4 linked regions of the Ovis aries genome follow. The protein of the gene in region 3 purifies or fractionates together with the protein of the main gene of each other region. This does not show direct contact. Links are inferred from orthologs where the notes say so. Each region holds a gene or a part of one and is shown on either strand. Other genes may lie near its edges. The genes, in order: GAB1, PLXNB1, MET and LGALS1.

Region 1 (5,659 bases), on a different chromosome or scaffold from region 3:
ATTTTCATATGGATGGCTTGTGGATGGCTTGTGGTAAAACCCGAGTTCACATAAAAATTGCTTTGCTTTATTAGCTGCCATAAAAATTACACTCACTTGTATTCTAACATTTAAGAAAAACAATGAGCCCCCTGGGTTGTTTTTTCTCTCTCAGTCCTCCTTATGGTTATCCCTTTGATCTTTTCACAAGACAACATCTTTACAACATCTTTCACATCTCTGGCTAGCTGCCTCTTTAAGGAAGACTTCTCCCCTAGTATCTGACCTAGTTCCACCCTTATTATTCTTCCAGTTTCTCCCAGGGCACATTTATCACAATCTGTACTTGCGTTGACCCTGTTAACTATCTAGAAATGTCACCGCTCTGAGTGCAGGGACCTTTCTTTGTCACCACCCCAGCACCTAATTTCCTACTACAATTGTATAACATTTTCAAACTCGAGAGGAACTGAATATGAATGTTGTATTAACAAGAACAAGCCTGAGGTTATTTTTTCCAGAAACGTTTGGCACTCTTATCTGATTATTTACACTACGTTCCAAAATCTGTCTAGGGGCTTTGTTTCTCATAAATACATTGGAAAAGATATTTCTCTTACAGGATCGTGTTAATCTCAGGGCCAGGTATCATAGTCATTGTAAAACACACAAAAGAAAACAAATAGCATTAGGACATCCAGTGAAGGTTCCCTTTTCTGGTCCAACACCCCAAGAGTTGATTTTAAATAAAAGCCAAGGCAAGTGGAAGAAACTGGCAACAAACGGAGGGAGTGTAAGGCTTCAAAATGTCCCCAGAGATAGATTCAACTGAATCCTTTGGGTCCACTAAGCGCTCCCACCACTCAGGCAAGGCTGCTCCGGGGACCAGCACACATCAGTCCGGAAGGGTCCCCTTCTGACCTCCCCTGCAGGCTGGTCGCCTTGGCGCGCTCCCAGCGACCTCGCCCTCCTGGTCTCCGCCTTTCAGTCTTGCGGGCAGAAACCCCGGGATCGCAGACTCTCCAGGGCGCGCGGTCTTCCTCCAGGCTGTTTCGCTTTCCACGCTGTCAAGTACCCGCCCCCCTCTCCCCCGCCCCCAACTCCCGATCTCCCGCACAGAACAAACTCCGAACTGACACTCGGCTGAGCCAAGATGGCAATCCACAGACTTGAACCTTCGAATGTTCCTCGGTCGCCCGGGAACCCGAGATGGCGCGGCGTTACCCTCGGCGAGGCTTCGCTGCCTTCCTTGGCGACCAGCCCGCCGGGGGCTCCGGGATCCACGGCCGCCGGGGGCGCCGAGGACCCCTCTCCAGCGTCCCGAACTACAGATCCCAGGGTGCCTCTCGGACTCCCGCGCCCTCCCTCGCTCGCTCCCTCCCTCCGCCCGTCTCCTCCTCCCTGGCCCTTGTTGTTTTGGCTGGAAGCGCTCCGGCGGAGTTTCAAAGAAAGTCTGGGCAGAAACCGGAGCCGGCCCGAACGTGGGAAGGGGAGGAGGAAAGAGAGGAAGAGGGAGCCGGGAGGCCGGGAGAGGGAGGGATCGGGGCCGGGGGCCGGGCCGCCCAGAACCTGCCGCGCGCCCTGGGGTGGGGGAGGCGGCGCAGGAGCAGCGCTAGGGGACGGGACGGTAGGCTTGGTCCCCGCAGCCAAGCAGCCCAGCGCCTCCTTCTTCTGCCGCCCTCTGCTTTCTCTCTCTTGCGGCGGCGGCCAGCACGGACCCACCCTTCGGCGGGACCTGCGCTCTGTCCAGCGACGCCGAGCCGGCGGCTCCCTCCGTGGCCCGGGACCAACCCTCAACCCTGCGCCCGCTGACCACGGGACCCTCGCGGCTTTCCCATTCCTTGCGGCGGTCCGGGCGCCTCGGGGAAGTGACCCACCCTCTCTCCAGAAGGAGGAAGGAGGGGATAGCGCCAAGCGCAGTAAAACCTAGAGCTGGCCAGTCGGAGTGGGCACTGCGCGGGGGCATTGTGTGTGTATGAGCGTGTGAGACTGTGTGTGCGCGCGTGCAGCGTCGTGTCTGTCTCGGAGTGCGCTCTGGGAGGTCCCATCCCGAAGGGGCGGAGCGCAGGGGGCCGAGGCTCGGGCTCCGCGCCGGGGCAGAGTCCCGTGGAGCCCGAGCGCAGAGGAGGCGGCCGGCGGGACGGCGCGCCTGGCGGCCGGGCGGGTGCACTGAAGGAAGGCCTGGGCATCTTCGGCCCGGCCGCGGCCCCTGCCCCGAGGTGTCGGCCTCGGCGGCTGTGCCCGCTTCTACTCACGTCCGCGGACCTGCCTGCGGGGAAGAAACTCGAACGCCAAGAGCCAGAGCGCCGCGGAGCCGGCCCGCCCCGTCCGCCTGGGGTGCGCCGCGGGAGAGCGAGGTCCCAGCAGCTGCACGGGCGTCCGGCGTCGAAGGTGTCGGGAGCGCGCCGGGCCCGCAGCCCTAAAGGCTCGCACCATGAGCGGCGGCGAAGTGGTCTGCTCGGGATGGCTCCGCAAGTCCCCCCCGGAGAAAAAGTTAAAGCGTTATGTAAGTAGAGCTCGGCCCCCGTTACCCTCCCTGGGCGGCTCGCGTGCCGACTGCTCCTCTTTAGTCCCCATCCCTTCCCTGTAGGCCCCTTCCCTGCCAGGCTGGGGACCCAGGCTGGACACTCATGCCCGGGCCTCCGCTTGGCCAGGCATCTTTCTTTCTCCAGATTGCAGACTGGAGAAATTTCTTTCTCCATCGGCCCTTAGGAAGGCCTGGTATGGCCAGCTGAGCGCCTGCTGAGTGTTTTTTATTGTTCCTTTTAGCAGGGGTTGAGGGGGAGAGCATTTTCCTTTCGTTAGACCTGCACCGAATTCTCAGGGGCTGCTGTGTAGTAAATTTCCCGCACTGAGAAAACCACGGAGGTATTAAAACTCACCAGCCCTCTCTTTGGACCGCCCTCCCTCCCGCCTTCCCCACGGGATGGTTTCGGAAAGCGGACGGGAGACCTGGGAAGTTGGCGTTAGAGCCGAGCATCTCCAATCCGCTCCACGGAAAAGAAAAAAAAAAGTTATTACGCGCCCTACCGTTTGCTTAGCGGGGTTCACACTTTCTCGGTTTTGAATCGAGGGACGTTGGAGTTTGGCCCGAGAGCCTTGGCAGTTTGCTGCGAGAGGAGGGCGCTGGGGGGAGCCTGATGGCTGGTGTTCGGGCGCCTTGGACACGCTGTCAAACCCTGTGGGAGGGGACAGCGAAGGCCAGTTAGGAGTTCTGTGTGTTATGGTCCTTTCCCAGGCCACCACAGTTGCTTCGTGGTATTTGTGTAATTGATACAAGATGCTGATTATGTGTTAAGCCGTTTTAGCCGTTAGGGGAAGTATTCCTTGAAAGAACCAACGTTACTGCAGCGGAAGTCTGTGTCCTCTTTGGGGAGTCTGGGATCTTATCCCCTTCTCCCCCATTGATTCTTCTGTCGCTGCCCACAGCAAAGGAAAGAAATGACACCTTTGCCCTCGCTTATGGAGCAAATATTTGTCTAGTAAAGTATGTCTCGAAAGCACAGTATGTGCCCCCTTAAATATAAATTTGCTAACGGGGAGAGTAATAATGGACCCTGTTTCTTGTGAAAGGATGTCTACACCCAATGCGAGAGCTCGAGGTAACCCTGTTAGTCAGTTTGCTTGCATAGAACGGAGTGAAGTGCAATATTTAACTTAGCCCACAACTCACCAGTGAGTTTCTGGTTTACTTGCTGCCAGAATTTGCTATAGGCAAGTAGTTCTCCTTTAAGGATTTGATGCCACAAATCCTAGGGATGTTCTTCAGAGATTTTTAAAATTCTTCCAAATTCCCTCTCTCCATCTATCACAGTTTGCCCAAGTATTCTGGTAAATATGGTGACTTTATTCTAAAAGTTGGGGTGAGAGGCAGTGTGTTTTTCAGTTGGGAGTTCTGTGTGTATGTATGTGGGGAGAGGGTGTGGTTTGATGTATTTGTTTTGAGAAGGTACTGTTTAGGAAATGATTGATTCTTGGGGAAACTAAAGAACACTACATTGGCTGGAATAGGTAGTGGTAATAGAGATTTAATGCTTTCTTTCACATGTTTGGTTTATGGCTCTCTCAAAAGATGCCACACGCTAGACTAGGGACCATAAAATTAAAAAAAAACAAAAACAAAAAAAAAAACCCAGCAGGAAAAAAAGCCTTGTCTCTTGGGCTTGCAATTTAATGTACTACAAAAAATCAGCCCAAACAATTACATCTTAACTGGACCAAGAAAATAGAAATTCTCAATTTAAGAATTTTAATATTTCATCTGATCATTACAACAGTTTTATGAGGCAGTTATTATCTGTCTTAAATGAGAACACAATCTACGGAACCAGAGTGTGCCAGAAGCAGGATTTGAACCCAGATCTGCCTGCCTGCCTGCCTGGTCTTTAAAAGGTGAACGCCTCTTATCAAGTTTAAGCTGTGCTGAGGCTGGGTCATGTGGATAGGACCTTTCAGGTTTATGACTTTCTGTGAGTCCGTGGATATAACACGCAAGGAAGAGTGGACTGTGGATCAGAGGTGCAGTGCTGAAGAAACACAGGACAAGCATATGTAGAAAAGGAAGCCATATCCATGTCAATGTGTGGCAAAAACCACCACAATATTGTAAAGTAATTAGCCTCCAATTAAAATAAATTAATTAATTTAAAAAAAAGAAAAGGAAGCCAGCAACTCCACGTGCTTTCTAATTGTGTGCCCAAGTTGAGCCCTATGGCCATTTCATAGATGTTTTCAGGAACAGGCTCATGTAGACGGAAATCATAGGATACGTCAGAGGAACAGTGGGCTCCCTCAATTGTTGTCGACTGAGGGCTGAATATACCTAACAGCTGAGAGAGGCAGGACACTAGGGTTTTCTTTCCACACTAATCAGTCCATGGATACAGCCCAGGAAGACTATGGGGAGGGTGGCTGCCAAAATTGAGGGGTCCAAGAGAGTTACTGGAGTCTTATAAGCTAAATTGAGGCTTGTCTTAATTTGCACTGTCAAGGTGATTGCCCAGAAGATTCTCACGTTTCCAGATGATTGCTGTTTGGCCTGATATTCAATATAGATAGTTTTGGCTAATACATCTTTACCCCTCAAAGATATGGCATATATATATACATGCATCTCCTCTGCTGAGTTTGGTTTTCATGTAAAATCTTTATTTTCTGGATGAAAGGAAACATTGTTGACCACCCAATAGGCAAAATGTTGCTTGATAATGGTTTTGAATGAACAAATTCTCTGTGATAAGATATCTTGACTTCCTGGTACCATAATTGCTAAGGGAGACTTCAGGGAGTTTTTGGGCATTGATTTGGAGGGGGGGGAACACTTGGCCCAGAGGACTTTGATAGTTGTCTCACTGTTTTCCAATATTTATAAGAGTAGTTCAAGCATTGATTAAGAGAATCCATCAGGGCTTTTAAGTGACAAAATATTGTTTTAGTTTTATCTCCAAAGTCATCTCAAGTTATGGCCCCAATGCATTCTACTTACAACTCCATTTTATGTTTGCTTTTTTAATTTTTATTAGTCAGCAGCATTGTTTTTACATATTAGTATGTCCATCTGCTATGGAAGTTTTTCTTGAATTTCCTAAACAGTGTGACAGTAGCATAAAAGATAGTAAGAAAAAGACTAGTGAGCAGATTCTCCGGCTATGTGATAAAAATAATTGTATTGGTTTGTGTA
Region 2 (5,963 bases), on a different chromosome or scaffold from region 3:
ACACATACCCGGAAGCACACCCCACACAGGCACACTCACCCACCCACCCACCCAAGACACACACACCAGCAGCCACATCCAGACCCCACACAGACAGATCACACACACTTCCCTGGTTCGAGCCCTAAGTCCTCGAGGGCTCTGGAAGCCAGGCCATCATCTCTTGCTATTTCCTCTCCTGCAGGTCAGAGCAGAGTGGGAGGTGGAGGGGGTGGGGGCAGGGGTGGGGCGTCCTAGAGGAAGTCACTGATGAGTACCCCACATCCCCTGAAACTTCCCATACCTTGAGGGCCTGCTCTCCTCACAGACCCTCTCCCTGCAGACTCCACCTGAAGCCTGGGGAGACCAGGAAACCATGCCACCACCTTGCTAAAACCTGGCTGGTCTCCAGCCTGGAGCACCAGGGTAGGCAAAGCGCTGGGGACCGGCAGCGCATCCCAAGCTGTGAGATGTTCTCCCTGCTTGTTTGTGTCCAGGCCACATGGCCCGGCCCCTCCTGCCACCCGGCTGCCAGTCTGCCGGTGCACAGTGCTCCTCCAACAGCTTCCCAGGGTCCAGGTTGACTCCTCCCAGCCGAGGCCCCCCCCAGCTGGGTGCTCCTGAGGCTGGCCCAGAGGGAGCAGGGCTGGGCGTAAGGCTTGCAGGAAGGTCCAGCGAGGAGCTGTGGCCACAGCCTGGCTGGGCACTGCTCCCAAAATAGCTTGGGGGTTTCCATTTTTAGTGTGCAGAGAACAGGACAGCTCTATGGGAGCGGGAACAAGGCAGCCACTGTTTGCCACCGAGGGGGCAGGGGGAGGGGGGCGGCAGGGAGAGCCGTGAACCCGGCGAGAAGCCCAGGACTATGGCAAGGCCAGGCTTCCCAGGAGCCCCCCACCTTGTATCCAAGGCACAGTGGGGAAAGTTTCTTCCCCCAGGAAGATGGGGTCTGCCTGAGGATGGGCAAAGGCCGGCTGCTACACTCAGCTACTGCTCGGCCCCTCCCACCGCCTCCCTCCCAGGGACACGCCTTGGGCAGAGGGTCTGCCCCACCATTCGATTACAAACATTTGCTCAGCGCGGACTTCATGCCAGAGTTCTCCAACCCTCAAGGGGCAGCCACCAAGGCACTCCCTACATGTAAAATCACAACTGGGTCGAGTGGCCCACAGGAAGCCAATGGGCAGGACCCAAACAGCTTCTGGCAAAGTCACATCGAAGGCTGGAGGCTGACCCCCGCTGGGGAAAGTGTCAGCCTTCTTCAATCACTGCCACGGGGCCGAGCCACCCTCGCCCTTCCCCACATACCACGGGTGGGAAGGAAAGAAGGGTGGTGACATTTTTCTCCTTATCGGTCACATATTTCACTTCACCTTGGTCACAGACAGCCTCTGGCCCCTCCAGTGCACCTCCTCCCACCTCAGAGGATGTCCCTCTCTCCAGCATCTTTGGAGGCACCCCCCGGGGCCCGGAGGATAAAGGTCAAGCCCTCCCGTCCACACGCTCTCCTGCGGGATCCTTGCCAGGGCTCCCCCACACATGCTCTTCGTTCCTGCCAGGCCGAACTGCAGACTGCTCATCACACTCCCCCACGCTCACTCCCTATTACATGAGGTACCCAACCATCACCTCCCAGAGAAGCCCTCACTGTCCCCCAGGCTCCTGAGAAGCCCACCGCGTGTGACTGGTGGGCATCCCCAGCCACCACCCTGGTGTACATTGCAGCTCTGCCTTGGGGTCTCTGAGCCTCAGATTTCCCATCTGGAGAATGGGAGGCAGGATTGCTCTGATCGTTCAACGTGATGTGGTGTGTGCCTGGCACGCGAGGCACCAACCAAGGCCACTTTTCTCCCTGTTCCACGCTCCTATCCTGAAATTCCTTAAAGGCAAAGAATGTGACTTCTAATTCAGAGGCCCCAGTAAGCGGGACAGACGTTAGCACGGAGCAGGTGCTCCTCAAATGATAAAAAGAACCCTCATTTCACAGCCAATAAAACTCAGCCAGCAGGGGAGATGCGGAACCCACAACCCACTCCAAGCCACTCAGCTTCTCGAAGGACACAGTTGTCAGCCCCACTTTTATTAATGACTAGGCCAGAGCAGACTGAAAAGGGTGCTTTGGAGCTGGGCCTCCAGTTCCCAACTTATACAAATAAGATCTCTCCTCCACCCTCCACATCTCAAGCCCCAACTACAGTCAAAGCCTAGCTCTTCTGGGCCCCCCAACTCTGGACCGATTCAGCAGGACCCAAGGCTGCCTAACTTCTGCCTGCAAAGAACAACCAGTCTCCTGGACCTGGGGCTGTCCTGGCCAACCAAAAGGGCATATAAACTCTGCCCTTGAAACTGGGAGAATGTTCCTATCCCAGCCCTCTTCACCGGAGTCGCCGGGATTGGTGTGAAACCGGCCTTTCCTTATGGCCTTCTCGCTGGGCTCCCAGGGTGCACCCAGAAGTTACTCATTGACAGCATCAGAGTGGAGAGTGCCTGCCCTGTTGTCTGTGTTGAGCCGGGGTAGGGGCGGGGTGGGGGGCACCATTTACCAGTGAGGACTCAACGAGCGCTCATCAATCACCCACCGTCTGGGTGCGGGGTGGGGGGCTCCCCCTCTGGGGGTGCGTGGCGGGGGGAATCCCAGTCTGCCTTTTGTCAGTCGCGCCGAGTACCGCCTGGAAGGGCTGTTACTGCGGAGGGGAAGCCTGGACCTCCCTGTTGCTCTTCCCCGACCCTCCTCCCTCCTCCCCGACCAGGGCAAGGACCCCCCCAGTGGTCCTGGGAGGGCGGGGAAGAGGCCGGCCGGTCCCCGGCTGAGGCGGCGGCGGCGAGGAGGGGGCGCGGAGGAGCGGCTCCACCTCCTCTGTCTCCCAATCGCGTTACAGGCGGAGCCGACAGAGTTTCCCTTCGCGCGGAGAAGTGTGGTCCCAACTCTCAGGATTGAAGCCGCCCACCACTCACCCCGGGCCGCGTCGGCCCGGCGGCATCGCGGCTCCAGGCCCGTCCACCCCGGGGACGCGTCGCCCCGGCCCCACCGCCCGGCCCCGGGCCCCGCACTCACCACCCGGCCGGGCCCCGCGGGACGAGCGCGCCGAGGCGGGCGCCGGCCGCTCCGGGTTCGGGATCTGCGCGCGCGGCGGCCTCCCCCGTCCCCTGCTCGCCACCCCCCCCCCGCTCCGCCACCTCCCGGAGGTGGGTCTGGCGGAGTCGCAGCTGTTACCCGGAGACCGAGGGGCGGAAAACTGCGCCCGCCGCCCGCCCCGCCCGCAGCGGCGCTGCCACCGCCGGGAACAAAGGAGACAAAGCCGCGTCGGCCGGGCCCGGCTCCGCTCCTTCCCCCCCCCCGCGCCCGCCGGGCCGCCCTCCCCCCGCCCGCAGCCCAGGCCAGGCCGGAAGCAGCCGGGAGAGCCGGGCGCGCGGCCCCGAGCCGCCCGGGACCCCGCATTCCAGCCCTCCCGGCTCTGCACTTGCCGAGGGCGGGGGACTCGACCCCTCGCTCGCTAGGGGGCGGACGGTGGGGGCAGGGGAGGGGAGAAGGGCTGCACCCCGGCGGTTGCCAAGGCAACGCGGATGGCGGCGGGAGGAGCGCGCAGAGCCGAGCCGCGGGACCTGCTGCCCCACCCGGCCCAGTCCCCGCCGGGCCTCACCTGCGCGCCTCGCTGGAGCCGAAATTGGGAGCCCTCCGGCACGGGAGGGGCCGGACGGCGGGGGCTGGGGGCTGGGGGTCGCGCTCTGCACCCCGACGTGTGGTGGTGCTTCGCCCGGACCTCCGCCTGCCTGCCTGCCAGCGCCCGGTGGGACTCACGCCCCTCACCTGCCCCGCCAACCACCTCCCCCGCTCTCCGGGGCCCCCGAGCTCCCTCTTACCTGCCCAGTACCTGGCTCCTGTGGCCATCCTCCTCCAACTTTCTTTACCTGAACTCCGGGGCGCCTGGTTTCTGCCCACCGGTCCTACTCCTGGGACTCTCAAACGGCCAAGCTCTCCTTCCGGCCCCCACCTCTGGCTGTGCGGGAAGAGCGCTGGCTTTGGGGTTGGGCCTGGGTTTGCGCCATCACTGAGCCAAGAAACCTGACCCCTGCCCCCTAAACACACATGCTTGTTTGCTCACCGTCAAGTGGAGGTGATGCCACACCTAGCCGGGCTGGGAGAGTTGGGCCCACCGCTGCAAACGTGCACAAGCTAGGGCGCATTTCCTCCCAAACCTGTACCTGGACCCGCCCCAAGCTGAGAAGCCGTGGGCAAGTCTAGACTCCCTCACCGGTAAATACGTCACCCTTCCAAAGGCACACCTGGGTTCTCTCCTGAGGCCCAGGTGTGCCCTCTGCAGGGCCCTTCAGGCTTGGCTCCCTGCAAACTCAGGAGCCAGCACTTGGTCCATCCTATTAGGACTTCCGCAGGGTTTTGGCTCTCAGCCACTGGGACAGCCGCCTGGGAGGCAAAATTGGTCACACACCCTGAAAGCTCCCAGGGCCTCTGCAAGGCTTGAGGGGGACCTCAATCAGGTTTACATCATCCACACTGGCTGCTGTGTAAAGAGCTAAACTTCAGGCACCCTCTTCCCACCTTCCACCCATCAGTGTGCCTTCACTCTCACAGGACTCTGCCTTCCAAGTTGTCCCTCACCAGCACCTCGGCTTGCTCCCCGGACCTCCAACCAATCTTCCAATATCTGGGTCCAGGGTTCAGCACCCTGTCTGTGCCAGTTCTGTCTCTGGATTTCACAGACCCCAGGTGCTATCTTGCCTTCTGGGTCCCCCACGTCATTCTCTAAACTTATGCTCCACACCAATCACCACCTCATTCAAGCTGGTGTGCCCCAAGGCCCTCAGCCACCTTTGCCTTGCCTTTCTGTGCAGCTTGTTGGGGGTGTTGGGTGGCCCTTCCAAGTACCTGGACCCCTCCCCTCCCCAGACCCATTCACTCAAGTGCACACCCTTTAGGACCCACCTCACCTACCTAGGTTTAGGACCTAGGATTTCCAAACCCCACAACACCCCTCATCTATAGACAGATATGGTATCTCCTACCCCACCAGGAGGATGAACATCCCAAGTATAGAGGTCATTTCATCCCACACCCTCCGAAGGAATCATTACAAAAAGAAAAGAAGGCCACGGATGGAGTGACCAGACGATCGGAGGTTCGCTGTACCCATGGGGCCACTGGCCAGGGCTGAGCACAGGCTCCCAAGAAGGGCGGGATCTCATGGAAGCATTTCTGCATCCACATGCCTCTGCTGTGCATCAGCTCTACTCAACCTGCTGACCCACCTCATTGGGTCCTGAAAGGAGGGTGGGTTCTTCAGACCCACAGTGCAAGCAGAGCACCTCCTCGCTGCTGTTTACTCAAGGACACACAAGGCCACCCATGGCCATTTGACCCAGGAGGTCAAAGGCTGCTGTTCTCCACTGAGAAGGAAGAGGTCAAGGGTTCTCAGTGCAGTACGCCTCCATGCCCCCCAACTGTACCTCCCACCTCTGAGAGGTCCCTCCCCATCACTGCCTCACTGCTCACACTGCTGGTGGGCTGAGCTCTGCCCAAGGCTGGAAAGGCCATCCCTAGGCTGTGTGTGAGATGACACCCTGCCTAAGTGGCACTCCAGCAGGGAACCAGATTGGTCGCCAATCCCTGTAATTCTGTCCCCGGCAGTATTTACCAACCATTCCCCCAATCCTTGTTCCTGCTCTCCTCCGATCAATCCTCCAGTGTTAGAACCAGGAAGTTCTCTCCAACATGGCACAGCAAGTGATCCAAAACAGGCTGTTACCATGGTCACCACCAAGCCAAGTTTTATTTACTGGAAATCATGGGCCATCCGACACAGGTGGGTTGGACAAGTGGAGGACAGGCCAGGAAATCCAAAATGAAAATCAAGGCCTGGGGCGGGGTAGGGGGGGACCAGTGTATCAAAAATGGTCTTGAACCAAGGGCCGGATCAAGAGATGAGAGAGGAACTATAGGGGGCGATTATCTTACTTTCAGGCCCTACCCT
Region 3 (5,173 bases):
GCAAAGTAAAGAACATAAATCCTAGACTACTGGCTCTAAAATTCACATGACTCCCATGCTGTGTGGTTTCTTGTTCACTCTGTATTCCACATTGGTCAAACTTTTCCTATCCTCTCTATTTTACAAAGGTTCCTCTATCATTATTTCATGTCCTTTCATCTTTCATTAAAAAATTTCCCCTTTATAATTCTGATTTATAGAAGTTTGGAAAATGTGGTTTCCTCTTGATTGTGCTTAGATGAAACCAGCAACACAAAGTAGTGCATTTAAGGTTAAATGGTTGCATTTTTCCCCCCAAGGAAAAGACAAACAAGCAACAACATCCCTTAGATTTCCTTTTCTTTGACAAGTAGAGTTGGAGATAAAACAATTACTTATGTCCACAATAGAATAATACTCAGGATATACAGAAAAAGCACAAACAAAATTGGATATTTGATATTTTCTTTTAAAAATGACTTAAAAATTGTTCTATATTGAAAAATGTGTGCTATATGCAGATGAAGAAAAATTATATACAGACATAATTGGTATAAAATATTACTTAGTTTTGTATCAAATCCATATGACAATGCTAAAAGCTATCCTATGGTCTTGAAAAACGGAAATGAACAACTTTACTGCTATTACAATAATTTTCTATGTAACAAGAAACTTGAAAATTAACAAACTTCTGGCTTCTGGGGCATAATGTATGATAACAAATTAATATGCATTTTGTTAAGAAGATGATCAATATTTTTATTTTAAAAGATTTGAATTTGTTAGACTGGAAATTTACTCTGGCTGGATCAGTAAATCTAAATCAGACCTGAACAAGAGTTTTCATCTGTTAAATAATGAATGGCTTCAATTCATCATGGTCAGCTTCAGATTCTACAAGAAGCAGGGAATATGGAAAGAACACGGGTCTCTTTATGAGATTTTTTGCAAACAATAGTCAAATAGACCCACTGAATTTTTCATTCCTGTCCAAATTGAATCCATTGTTCTATTTAATATCTTTGTGGCTAAAATAACAAAGTTTACATTTCCAGATATGCAAACGGACAAGATTCTAATCTTCTACTGTTGTTCCAATCTTCTTTGTCACACCTAGGAGGTTTTTAAAAACTACATATTACAAATGAACGAATGATGTCATGTGTCATCATAATGTTGGTGAGGCAGAGGGAAGAAATCTGTCATGATTTTAATAATGTAACCTCAGTGTGAATTAGATAAACTAATAATTTCTCAGACTTCTACTTTAAAAAGTTGCATGCCAACACCAAAGGGGGTTATTGTTATTTTTATTGGTTAATGAAAAATTGCTATGCCTGGTTGTGGAGAACTGATGTCCTTTAAATTAATAGTGGTGGTATTCTAACTTTGTTTGTGGCCATGTGCAGGGATTGGTTTCAAAGCTCTCTACTTCATATGGGGACTCCCTAGAGTATAATCTCTCAGGAATATTATAAAAATCTAATAATACTCTTTAGAGGTGATGCAATGTGGCTGATTGAGAAGGTCAAGAAAAATCTTATTTGAGATGACCTTATTGTTTGGTGATTTGGCTTGACATTTTTAGCCCGAAATTGGTTTTTGTAATTAAAGCACACTGTGGCCTTAGCCTTCAAGAAATATTGGATGAGAATCTAAAAGGAAGTGCTGTAATTCAATCTATTACCTCCCCAATCAAGACCCTGCCTGAGAGGGGGCACTTAGAACTTTCATTCTAAGTTGTGTGTAGTCTGACTAGATTATGGATATTTTATATCAGAGAAAAACAACAAAACATATAATCTTCATAAATAACTCCAAACTTCCTGAAGTCTGAAGTAAAACTGCCACTTCAATGTGACCCCAAACTGTCAGAGCACAAAATAGGTCAATTTAAGGAGGAATTCAGTTAAATTCTGATGGACCTTGCAAATTAAAGAAAAAAGGTGAAGAAGTGTTACACATCATACCCATTCTAGGACATAAGTATTTTAATGCTCTTTTTCATTATTTGATAACATGCTAACAAAAGGACAAGAGGCATGGTTAAGAAGGGATATGAAAGAAAACACCGTACCACTTAGGAAGACATGGATGCTTTGGCAAGAGTAAAGGCTTTACCCAGGGGTTTTATTAGACCAAAAAGGTTGATGTTCTAGGGGGCATTATAAAAAGGAGGATAGGGAAATGCTATGGTTTGAATGTTTGCATCCTCCTCAAATTCATATTTGGAACCCTAATCCCTCACATGATGGGATTTGGAGATGGGGCCTTTGGGAGGTAAGTAGGTCATAAGAGTGAAGTTCTCATGATGGAATTAGTGCCCTCATAAGAGGAGACACAAGAGAGCTTGCTTCCTCTTTCTTTCCCTTCCATGTGAGGATACAATGAGAACATAATCAGTTGCAAACCAGGAAGCAGGCCCTCCCCAGAAAGCCAGATCTGCTGGCACCCTGGTCTTGGACTTCGCAACCTTGAGAACTATGAGAAAAAATAAATGTTTTCTATGTAAGCCACTCAGTCTATGGTATTTTTGTTTAGAACCCTGAACAGACTAAGACAGGGATGATGTAGTTTGCATTTGTACTGACTTTTTAAAAAACACTGCCTTAAGTTGATAATCATTATTTGTGTCTAAACATTATGTGTGAGTGTGTTTTCTGTTAGCCTGAGACTAGATATTTTTAGTCACTGAATTAAAAAAATCCTACTGACTACATTGCAGGTAAGATAACTAGCAGACATTAAAGGCAAAACTGAAATGTCTCTGGTACCCTGAAAGCAGGCAGCAGAGGCAGAGATGCAGAGTTCTAAGCACAACTATCATGTAGAGGACTTACCACTGTAAAGTTCTTTCCGGCTTCATGCACATTTATTACCATCCTTATGATACTAACTGAATTCAGGTTTTTTCCAACACCTGTTATTGTACTCCCACCACTGGCAAAATAAAATAGAAAAATAGCAATGAGAGGTTCTTTCTCTATCAAGTATTTTAAGAGAGAAATGAAATTAAATCACATGTAGTAACTACAAGTTACAGCGAAATTGAAGTCAAATGAAAGTTCAGTGGTAAATTTTCTTTGGAAATAACTTATTTCACCCGAAAATATTTTAAAAATTCATTATTTCACAAGCTGAAGGAATGAATTTCTCTTTTTATTCACCAAACACACAAAAGAAATATTTTTTCCTGTCTGAAAAAAATACAAAGAAAAATGAATTTAACTACTGTCGCTAGACTGATTGAAATAACAGAAATAAGGCAGACTGAAATGGGTCCAGTGAGATAATGATTTAGAGGGAGTCTGGTATTGGCTCAGACAGTAAAGAATCTGCCTGCAACGTGGGAGACCTGGATTTGATCCCTGGGTCAGGAATATCTCATAGAGAAGGGAATGGCAACCCAATCCAGTATTCTTGCTTGGAAAATTCCATGGACAGAGGAACCCTGGCAAGCTATAGTCCACGGGATCACAAACAGTTGGACATGACTGAGTGATTAACACACTGGTATAGGGAAAAGTTGTGTGTAAATTAGGTAAGGAAAAATACACTGTAAAAGTGACAGAAAAAGGTGATTCCACTCTTAGGCACTAAGGTTAGTAAAGAGTTAAAATGTACACAATATAAGTGCTTAAATACTATGATGTTCAGCTTAAATACTATGATGTTCAGTAAATTTAGACTAGGATAAAATGGCATGAACTAGCACTGATAAAGTCAAATTGTACTCAGAACCTGACTGTAGTTTTCACTCCTGAATTGGAAAGGTATTCTTCAAAAGAAATGCAATAGTATCAAATCCAGAGATAAAACTATCTTCCTTTTGACTATTTGACAGCCAATCATTCTCAAGTTTATTACTTTCTTATACCCATCAGAAACTTTTACTTACCTAATAAAAGATTTGGTGGGATGTATTTCATAGACAATGGGGTCTTCCCGGTAAATGAAGCTGTTCACCTCTCGGTTGGCTAAGTCAATTTTCAATTTAACAGAAAACTCAGTTGGAGCACTTTGGGCTGGGGTATAACATTCGAGAATACTATATGAAACACTGAACAAAAAATTAAGAAAATGGATCTTTGTTATTAAAGACACACATATGTTAGAATTATATCCATAAGTCAAAAAGGATATCAGTCAATAGCACCTAAATGGGAATTTCTAGGGGGAAAAAAGCTCTTTTTAATGTAGGGTGTTTGTATTTGACTAGATCCCAGACTTAGCTCTGTTGTAGGCAAGCTACCTGACTTAAAAACATTTGGGATTTTAAGCAATTTTTAAAGTTTTGGTACTTGATTTAAGCTTTCCCATCTCTTAAGAAGCAGAAACATAACTTTCTAACCTAGTCTCCCTCATGGCTCTCACCACCCCAAAGTGATCTGATCTAATTGTAAATCTTGACGGAAATGTTTATTGTCAATTAACTGAACCTCACAGCTTATAGCATAGGTGGGATACTCAGTATAACAATAAAGAAGGTGGAATTAATAAACCATAAGGGAAGGGAAGAAAAAACAGCAAAAAGGAGTAGAGGGATTTGGGAAGAAGAAGTCTTTTAAGGTAAGGACAGTAAATAATAAACCTCTTGACTTTTTGCCACAAAAGAACAATATTTTCTTGATTTGTTAGGTACAAATATTAATCCAACTTGACTGATGAAACAAAAGACAAACTACAACACCTTTTTAAAGTACATGTTTTTCCACCAATTGAAATGTGTCTTGAATTTCCACTGTTTAGGTGCTTTCCAGTTAATGTAAGTAAAGTGCCACCAGTTTTTGGACCATAATTTGGAGAAATACTTGTTATTATAGGATCCTGAATGAGAGATAAAAACAAAATAAAATAACCTGTTAATTTTATAACTCTAAGTACATTAAGTAATAATTAAATATCCTAGTTCATGAGAAAACGAATGCCTAGACTTACCACATAGGAAAACATACTATACTGTACTGACCCACGACTGTTTGAAATAACTATGGACATATTGAAATGTTCATTCGTTGCAGGACCAACTGTGCATTTCAACCTGAAAAAGCAAAGTTTTATATAAGTCCAAAGGCATTTTCTGGCTTGGGTGTTTTATATTAAGAGTTATTATCTCCAAATAGTGAGCTGACTACTCTAAATAGCAAGCAGAGTTTCCAAGTAAGCATCAAGACTGAAAATTGTATAGCTC
Region 4 (5,877 bases), on a different chromosome or scaffold from region 3:
GCATCAAGGTAGTGAATGAAAGTGAAGGAAAGGGCAGAGACAGGGCTTGGGGGAGTTGGTGGAACCCTCCTCTTCCACACCCACACACACAGGAGGCTGGATCAGGGGGAGCACAGGCAGCTGCCTTTATTGGGGGCCATGGGCTGGGGCCCATATGTCACTCAAAGGCCACACACTTGATCTTGAAGTCACCACCTGCAGCCAGGTAGTTGATGGCCTCCAGGTTGAGGCGGTTGGGGAACTTGAATTCGTATCCATCAGGCAGCTTGATGGTTAGGTCTGTCTCGTTGAAGGAGACGCATACCTAGGGATGCAGAAGGGCAGTGAGCATGTGGACCCCACAGAGACCCTTGACTCCACGGCCACAGCTGCAGCATGCAGGTCCTAGGCCCTCCCAGAGCCCTTTCCTCACTCGGCCCTGACAACAGCCCTGCTTCATGGGTGAGGCCCTGAGGTTGGGAGAAGGGGATATTGCTCACTGAGGATCACACAACTAGTGAGGGAAGGGCAGGGATCTGGGAAGGGAGAGGAAGGGGGACCGGGGTTGGAGGGTTGGGACCTAGGTCTCTAGCCACTCAACCCAGCTCTGCCCCAGCCCACCCAGTGCCCTGATCCCCTGCCGCCCCCAGGCCCCAGCCCACCTCCGCGACACTTCCAGGCTGGAAGGGGAAGGCAGATTCCCTCTGCTCAGCCCCCCAGGCCCCACCGTCCTTGCTGTTACACACGATGGTGTTGATGTCCCCATGCGCTTCGAAACGAGGGTTGAAGTGCAGGCACAGATTGTTGTCATCTTTGCCCAGGTTCAGCGAGAAGCTAGGGGGTAACAGGTGGGCTTGAGGCTGCCTCCACCGGCTACAGCCCCCTCAGACCCTCTAGTCTGTGCCCCCCAGTCCGTGTGAATGCACCTCGCTGGGGAAACTCACTGAGCTGAGAAGCAGGAAACCTGGATTCTAGCTGTGTCCCTGCTTCCTCCTTGCTTTGTGCCCCTGAGCAAGTCCCTGCCCCTCTCTGGATCTCAGTATCCATATCTACACAGCCGAGGCTGCACAAAGAGCATCTCTTAAGGGTCTTGCTATGCTGACAGCCAGGACTCTTGCAGACATGAATGTGTGTCCCAGCCCCTTTGATCAAGGTCAGAGACTCCCTCCAGATGGCGTCCTCTGGGAGGGCAACTGTCCTGGCCGTCTTGTCTATCTGTAGCCCTGGTGCCCAGCACGAAGCGTGACACACAGCAGGTAGATGCTTAATAACTGCGGGGCTCATGAACATTTGCTGAGTGGAGCTAACAGCAATGCCTATCTCTGAGGGTTTGGAAAGAATGGCACAAGTGGTGCGCGTGAAACCTGCGGCTCTTTTATACGGTCAGCTGGTCATCATCGTCACCGAGAGATCCAGCATTTCACCTTCACACAGCAACCTCCCCCCTCCATGAACTGATTAACAAATAAGGGTCAAGGCGGTGGGTTGACTGATGCAAGGTCACAAGAGTCCGGAGAAACTAGGCCAGCTGGCCGAAAGAATGATGAGTTCAGGAAGAAGTGAAAGAAAAAAAACGGATCTCGGAAGGCGGGCAGCAAGGGTGACGCCCTTTCTTCCCTTCTCCCCGCCTCCTCAGGCCCCGCCCACAAAAGGGGCGGGAGGAAGGCCAGTCGAGGTAGATGACGAGGCCGCAGCTGGTTCAGTTTAAGGATGAGACAATGGTGGGGGCGTCCAGACCCCGCGGAGAAAGTGACTCATCCAGAAGACACTGCCTCAGCGGCCGCGGACCTGAAACCTGCCCCCGCCGGAGGGAGGGGCCGGACCCAGCCAGCCACGCCCCTCAGCGGGCCCGGCTCCTCCCTCGAGCTGAGCCCCCGCCCCTGCCGCCCGCCACCCCAGCCCTCGTACCCCTCACCTCTTGGCGTCTGCGGCCACCTCGCCCCGCACTCTGAGGCACTCCCCAGGTTTGAGATTCAGGTTGCTGGCGACCAGACCCTGCTAGACGAGACCCCGCCCAGCCGGGTTAGAGGACGCAATGGCGGGGGCGGGGGGTGTCTAGAGAGGTGGGTGGGGATTAAGGGGTGGGGTCGTCCCCTTTTTAGGGTGCTCTGACCAGGCCGACCTGAAGCCTGAGGAACCCGGCTGCAAGTTCTAGGCTCTCCATCTTTGTGTGGTCCTGGGCAAGTCCCTACTCCCAGCTGGGTCAATTTCTTGTCTGTAACAGGACTGAGAGTCTAAGAAGACAGGATCTAGAAGTTTCTGCCGTTTAGCCTGGGGATTTTAGATGCCATGTCTAGCCTGCTCCATTGCCTGCCTCGCTGAATAGATGGAGAGAGTCAACCTCCACATGGTCTCTGCGAGTTAGGGGCAAAGGAAGGCAAGTGAGGCTGTCTGTACATCTGCTGGAGAGGGAGAGGAAGAGGCCTGGAGCTGGGCGGTGTCCACCATCCCCTTCAAGGCCCTCTGTGCAGAGAGGGACAGGGGCTGGAGAGGAGTCCCCTAAGGAGCACAGTTAGACCCCTCTAAGAAGGGAGAATGGGCCCCGGGGTAGGAGCCTGCACCCTGGCTGGTTCAGGGTTAACAAATGCAAATGCAAAGCTTAACTGGTGTGAGTGGTTCCTCCTGCCAAAAACTTGAATCCTGTCCCTCGGGGCCTGCAGAATATTCTAGCTTCCTCCTTGATATCCCTTATCACACAGACACACCCCTCCTAGCCTGGAGGAAAGGGTCGTAGGGCACTCTCCCCTAACCTTCATCTGACCATCTGGACAGAATCACCCACTGCTGCGGGCTAACCTATACAGGCTACCCCCAGGGAGTGTGGCTCAGATCCTGGCCACTTTTCAGAGCTCTCTGGAGCACAGGGTGACTCTGCCCTGGCCCAGGGACTGGGGACAGCTGCAGGGGGGAAGGGAGAGGAGTTTCTATGGGGTGGAGGAGGGGGAAGGGAGAGTGTCCTGGGCACTAAGAAAATGCTCCCCCCGCCCCCATGTCCAGTCGGCCACACCCTTTCCACTCCCACTTCTCAAAAGAGCTGCAGTAAGTCAGACCATGGCAGAAATAATTGTGCTATCAGACTCTGGAGGAATCCAGAAATTTCTTAAGCCAGAGAAGGCCTTGGGGGACTGTGGCCCTACCCTCATTTTACAGACATGGCCACTGAAGCCCAGAAAAGACACTTGTTCAAGGCCGCACCACGGGAACTAGAACCCAGATCCTGATCTACCCTAGCTCTCCCCAGCTGAGCCCCCAGACCATCTCTGGGCCTTAGGGTAGGGGGGTCCGCATACTCACACAAGCCATGATTGAAGAGAGAAGGATGTTCCTGGAGTTTCGGCACCAGCTGTCTGAAGACTCTGCAGGAGAAATGGGCTTTGGGCCGCTCCCACTCTTTTAAGTGGACCAGACCCCGGTGAGTCCCGCCCCCTGGATGCTGAGCCAATTGTAACTCAGGAATGGGATGGGGGCCACAGGAGGCGGAGTTAATGGAATTTTGAAGCCAGTTCTGAAGCAGAGATGACCAATCGGAGTGGAGACCCCCCCTCCCCCGTCATTCCTTCTTAGCCACTCCCACAAGGTCCAGGGTCCACATCCCAATTCTCCTACCCCTTCCCAAAATTGTGCTGTGGCAAGGATTGGGGGAAGCCAGTGGAAAATAGTTTGAGGATGAATTAGGTCCAAGAGTTAGCGAGAAGAGGGCCAGGGCTAGCTGGCTGAGCTGGGGGGATACCCAGAGAAAACAGCTGAAGGGGTGCAGGGTCCCTCGAGAATTAGATCTGGGGTTCGAGAGGCTCTGTTCCTTGGCAGGGGCCAGGGCGTGGCCCACTCTGGGCGCCTCTGCAGAGGGCCCAGGACCCATTAACCACAAAGCCCTGCCTCCTCCGGAAACAGGGATTGCGGCTGCTGCTCTGCTCTTCACTAGCGCTAAAGAAAGGCTGGGCTGGTGCCAGGCTTGAGGCTGCCGCCCAGACTCGGGACTCAGGCCGCAGGCTTTGGCCCTCCCGAGGGCCCTGCTGCGGATCCTCCAGGAGCCCCTGCCTAACAGCTTCTGGCCTGTCCAAGAGGGTCAGGCCTGGAAGGAGGCCCACGGTGAGCCAGGCCATAAAAAGTTGGGGTCCCGGGTCTGTGCACCCGCCTCCATTTCTCCCTCTGACACCAGGCACAACTTCTTTTCCCCATCCGTTTAGCAGGTATTTTACCGAGCACCTATTATGTGCCTGGCCCTGAGCTGGCCTCAGAGGATTCAAAGATGAAGCCCTCAGTCCCTGCTCTCAAGTAGCTCTCTGTTGGGGGCAGAATTTGACTGTGAACCTAATTAGGAAGTAGCACGATGCTGGCTCTGGGAGAAGTCATGAGAAAGCACTGTAGTGGGGTGGTCCAGAATGGGAAGAATGTGGGTCTTTCCTTTTTTTGGCCACCCCACGTGGCATGCGGGATCTTAGTTCCCTGACCAAGGACTGAACCCGTGCCAACTGCAGTGGAAGGGCAGAGTCTTAACCTCTGGACTGCCAGAGAAGTCCTAGAAGGTCAGTCTTCAAGGATGGGTGAAGAAGCAGGGACTGGCATTCCAGCATGGGCACAGAAATGAGACAGCACACGTCTGGGGAACTGTGAGCATCTGGGCAACTGTGAGCATCTGGGCATGGCTGGAGTTTAGAGGGTGCTAGGGAAAGATGGGGTTATGAGGCTGGGCGGCCAATGGTACTGGATCATGAAGGGCCTCACGGAGGGGTTTGGGTATTGTTTGATCTGAGGGTGCTGGGTAGGCCACAGAAAGTTATATGAAGATTGAGTAGTGAGGCCAGATTTAGACTGCAGGGAAAACCACTGTAGCAACAGACTTGAGGGTGGGTTCAAGGGGTGCTCACCTCACATTCAGAAACCAAGTAGAGAGAGGAGCACGGGGAGCCCTGGGCGGGTGGAGTGGGGGGCTTGCTAAGAGAGGTACCAACAGGCCCTCCTTCACATCACTGTCCCCCTTCTGAAATTACCAGCACTGAAGAGCTAAGATGTGGACCAGGGGTGACTCACATCTAGAGGCCCTGCCCCAAGCTCACTGCCTCCCCAGCCCCCATCTTCCTCCAGAGACGGAGGCCCACATTGGCACAGGAGGAGAGGGGAGGGCAGCGGGCTGAGAGGCAGGCCCAGAGAGGCTGGGTGGCACCCCCCTGTGAGCCCCTCACCCCTTCTAGACCAAGCCAACTGCCTCAGAAACCAACCAGCAAAAGTGCTTCCCTTTTTCCTCGAGGGCCTCCCTCCAGACCTCCACATTAGGCAGGGGTGGGTGGTGCCCAGGCCCACTGCCTTTCCTCTGTGCTTCCCCTCTGAGGCCCACAGACACCCTCTCTGCCTGGACAAGGAATGAGGGTATTTCAGAAGGAGCCCTGGACCAAAGCCAGAGATGCTTCAGATGCAGTCCCTGCTGTGACAGCCATCAGGTGGGCCTGGCTGGCTACTCCCCAGTGCTGGGGCTCTTGGGGCCTCAGGAGCTGCTCCTTCATTTCCTCCCCCATCCTGGAAGATGGGGTTCGGCACCAGGAAGTGTATGTTGTTGGATGAGGGCTGCTTTACTCCTCTGTGGCATTTGGCCTGCTGAGGACTTGTAGGGAGACGAAATGGGACGGTGACATGGGGTGGAGGGCCCCGGAAGGCCCCTCTGGGAGTCTGGAGACTCACGTTCCTGTGCTAGCCCTGTCATGCCCTCCCAGGGCATCCCAGCAAGTTGCTTCTCCCTGCTTGCCTCAGTCTGCCTGTCTGTGAATTGGGCATGAGCAGCCCTGCTCTCTTGCACAAGGTTAGCGCAAGGTAGAGTTCAGGTCTGTTGTATATCCTTAATAAATGATTCTTTTGTTCATAGAGTCTCAGAAGGGTTTTGCCTTCTTGTATCTTCTTCCAGAC

Evidence for each region.
Region 1: the proteins of MET (region 3) and GAB1 purify together in Homo sapiens (affinity purification with western blotting; 3 studies listed by BioGRID and IntAct, with this or other methods). This does not show direct contact. The link is inferred for Ovis aries from reciprocal best matches to the Homo sapiens genes MET and GAB1.
Region 2: the proteins of MET (region 3) and PLXNB1 purify together in Homo sapiens (co-immunoprecipitation; 3 studies listed by IntAct). This does not show direct contact. The link is inferred for Ovis aries from reciprocal best matches to the Homo sapiens genes MET and PLXNB1.
Region 4: the proteins of MET (region 3) and LGALS1 purify together in Homo sapiens (affinity purification with mass spectrometry; 3 studies listed by BioGRID and IntAct, with this or other methods). This does not show direct contact. The link is inferred for Ovis aries from reciprocal best matches to the Homo sapiens genes MET and LGALS1.

The regions. Positions count from the first base shown.
Region 1 is NC_056070.1:14,613,958-14,619,616, reverse strand, and holds the start of GAB1 (GRB2-associated-binding protein 1), read left to right. Parts: upstream 1-2,077; 5' UTR 2,078-2,413; coding exon 2,414-2,485; intron 2,486-5,659. UniProt on the Homo sapiens protein: Adapter protein that plays a role in intracellular signaling cascades triggered by activated receptor-type kinases. Plays a role in FGFR1 signaling. Probably involved in signaling by the epidermal growth factor receptor (EGFR) and the insulin receptor (INSR).
Region 2 is NC_056072.1:51,461,562-51,467,524, reverse strand, and holds the start of PLXNB1 (plexin-B1), read right to left. Parts: upstream 3,957-5,963; 5' UTR 3,886-3,956; exon of another isoform or gene 3,838-3,885; intron 3,278-3,837; exon of another isoform or gene 3,191-3,277; intron 3,171-3,190; exon of another isoform or gene 3,032-3,170; intron 179-3,031; 5' UTR 1-178. UniProt on the Homo sapiens protein: Receptor for SEMA4D. Plays a role in GABAergic synapse development. Mediates SEMA4A- and SEMA4D-dependent inhibitory synapse development. Plays a role in RHOA activation and subsequent changes of the actin cytoskeleton.
Region 3 is NC_056057.1:53,127,289-53,132,461, forward strand, and holds part of MET (hepatocyte growth factor receptor precursor), read right to left. Parts: intron 5,024-5,173; coding exon 4,921-5,023; intron 4,810-4,920; coding exon 4,673-4,809; intron 4,043-4,672; coding exon 3,881-4,042; intron 2,923-3,880; coding exon 2,823-2,922; intron 1-2,822. UniProt on the Homo sapiens protein: Receptor tyrosine kinase that transduces signals from the extracellular matrix into the cytoplasm by binding to hepatocyte growth factor/HGF ligand. Regulates many physiological processes including proliferation, scattering, morphogenesis and survival.
Region 4 is NC_056056.1:215,341,263-215,347,139, reverse strand, and holds LGALS1 (galectin-1), read right to left. Parts: upstream 3,349-5,877; 5' UTR 3,283-3,348; coding exon 3,274-3,282; intron 1,978-3,273; coding exon of another isoform or gene 1,975-1,977; coding exon 1,895-1,974; intron 814-1,894; coding exon 642-813; intron 305-641; coding exon 158-304; 3' UTR 102-157; downstream 1-101. UniProt on the Homo sapiens protein: Lectin that binds beta-galactoside and a wide array of complex carbohydrates. Plays a role in regulating apoptosis, cell proliferation and cell differentiation. Inhibits CD45 protein phosphatase activity and therefore the dephosphorylation of Lyn kinase.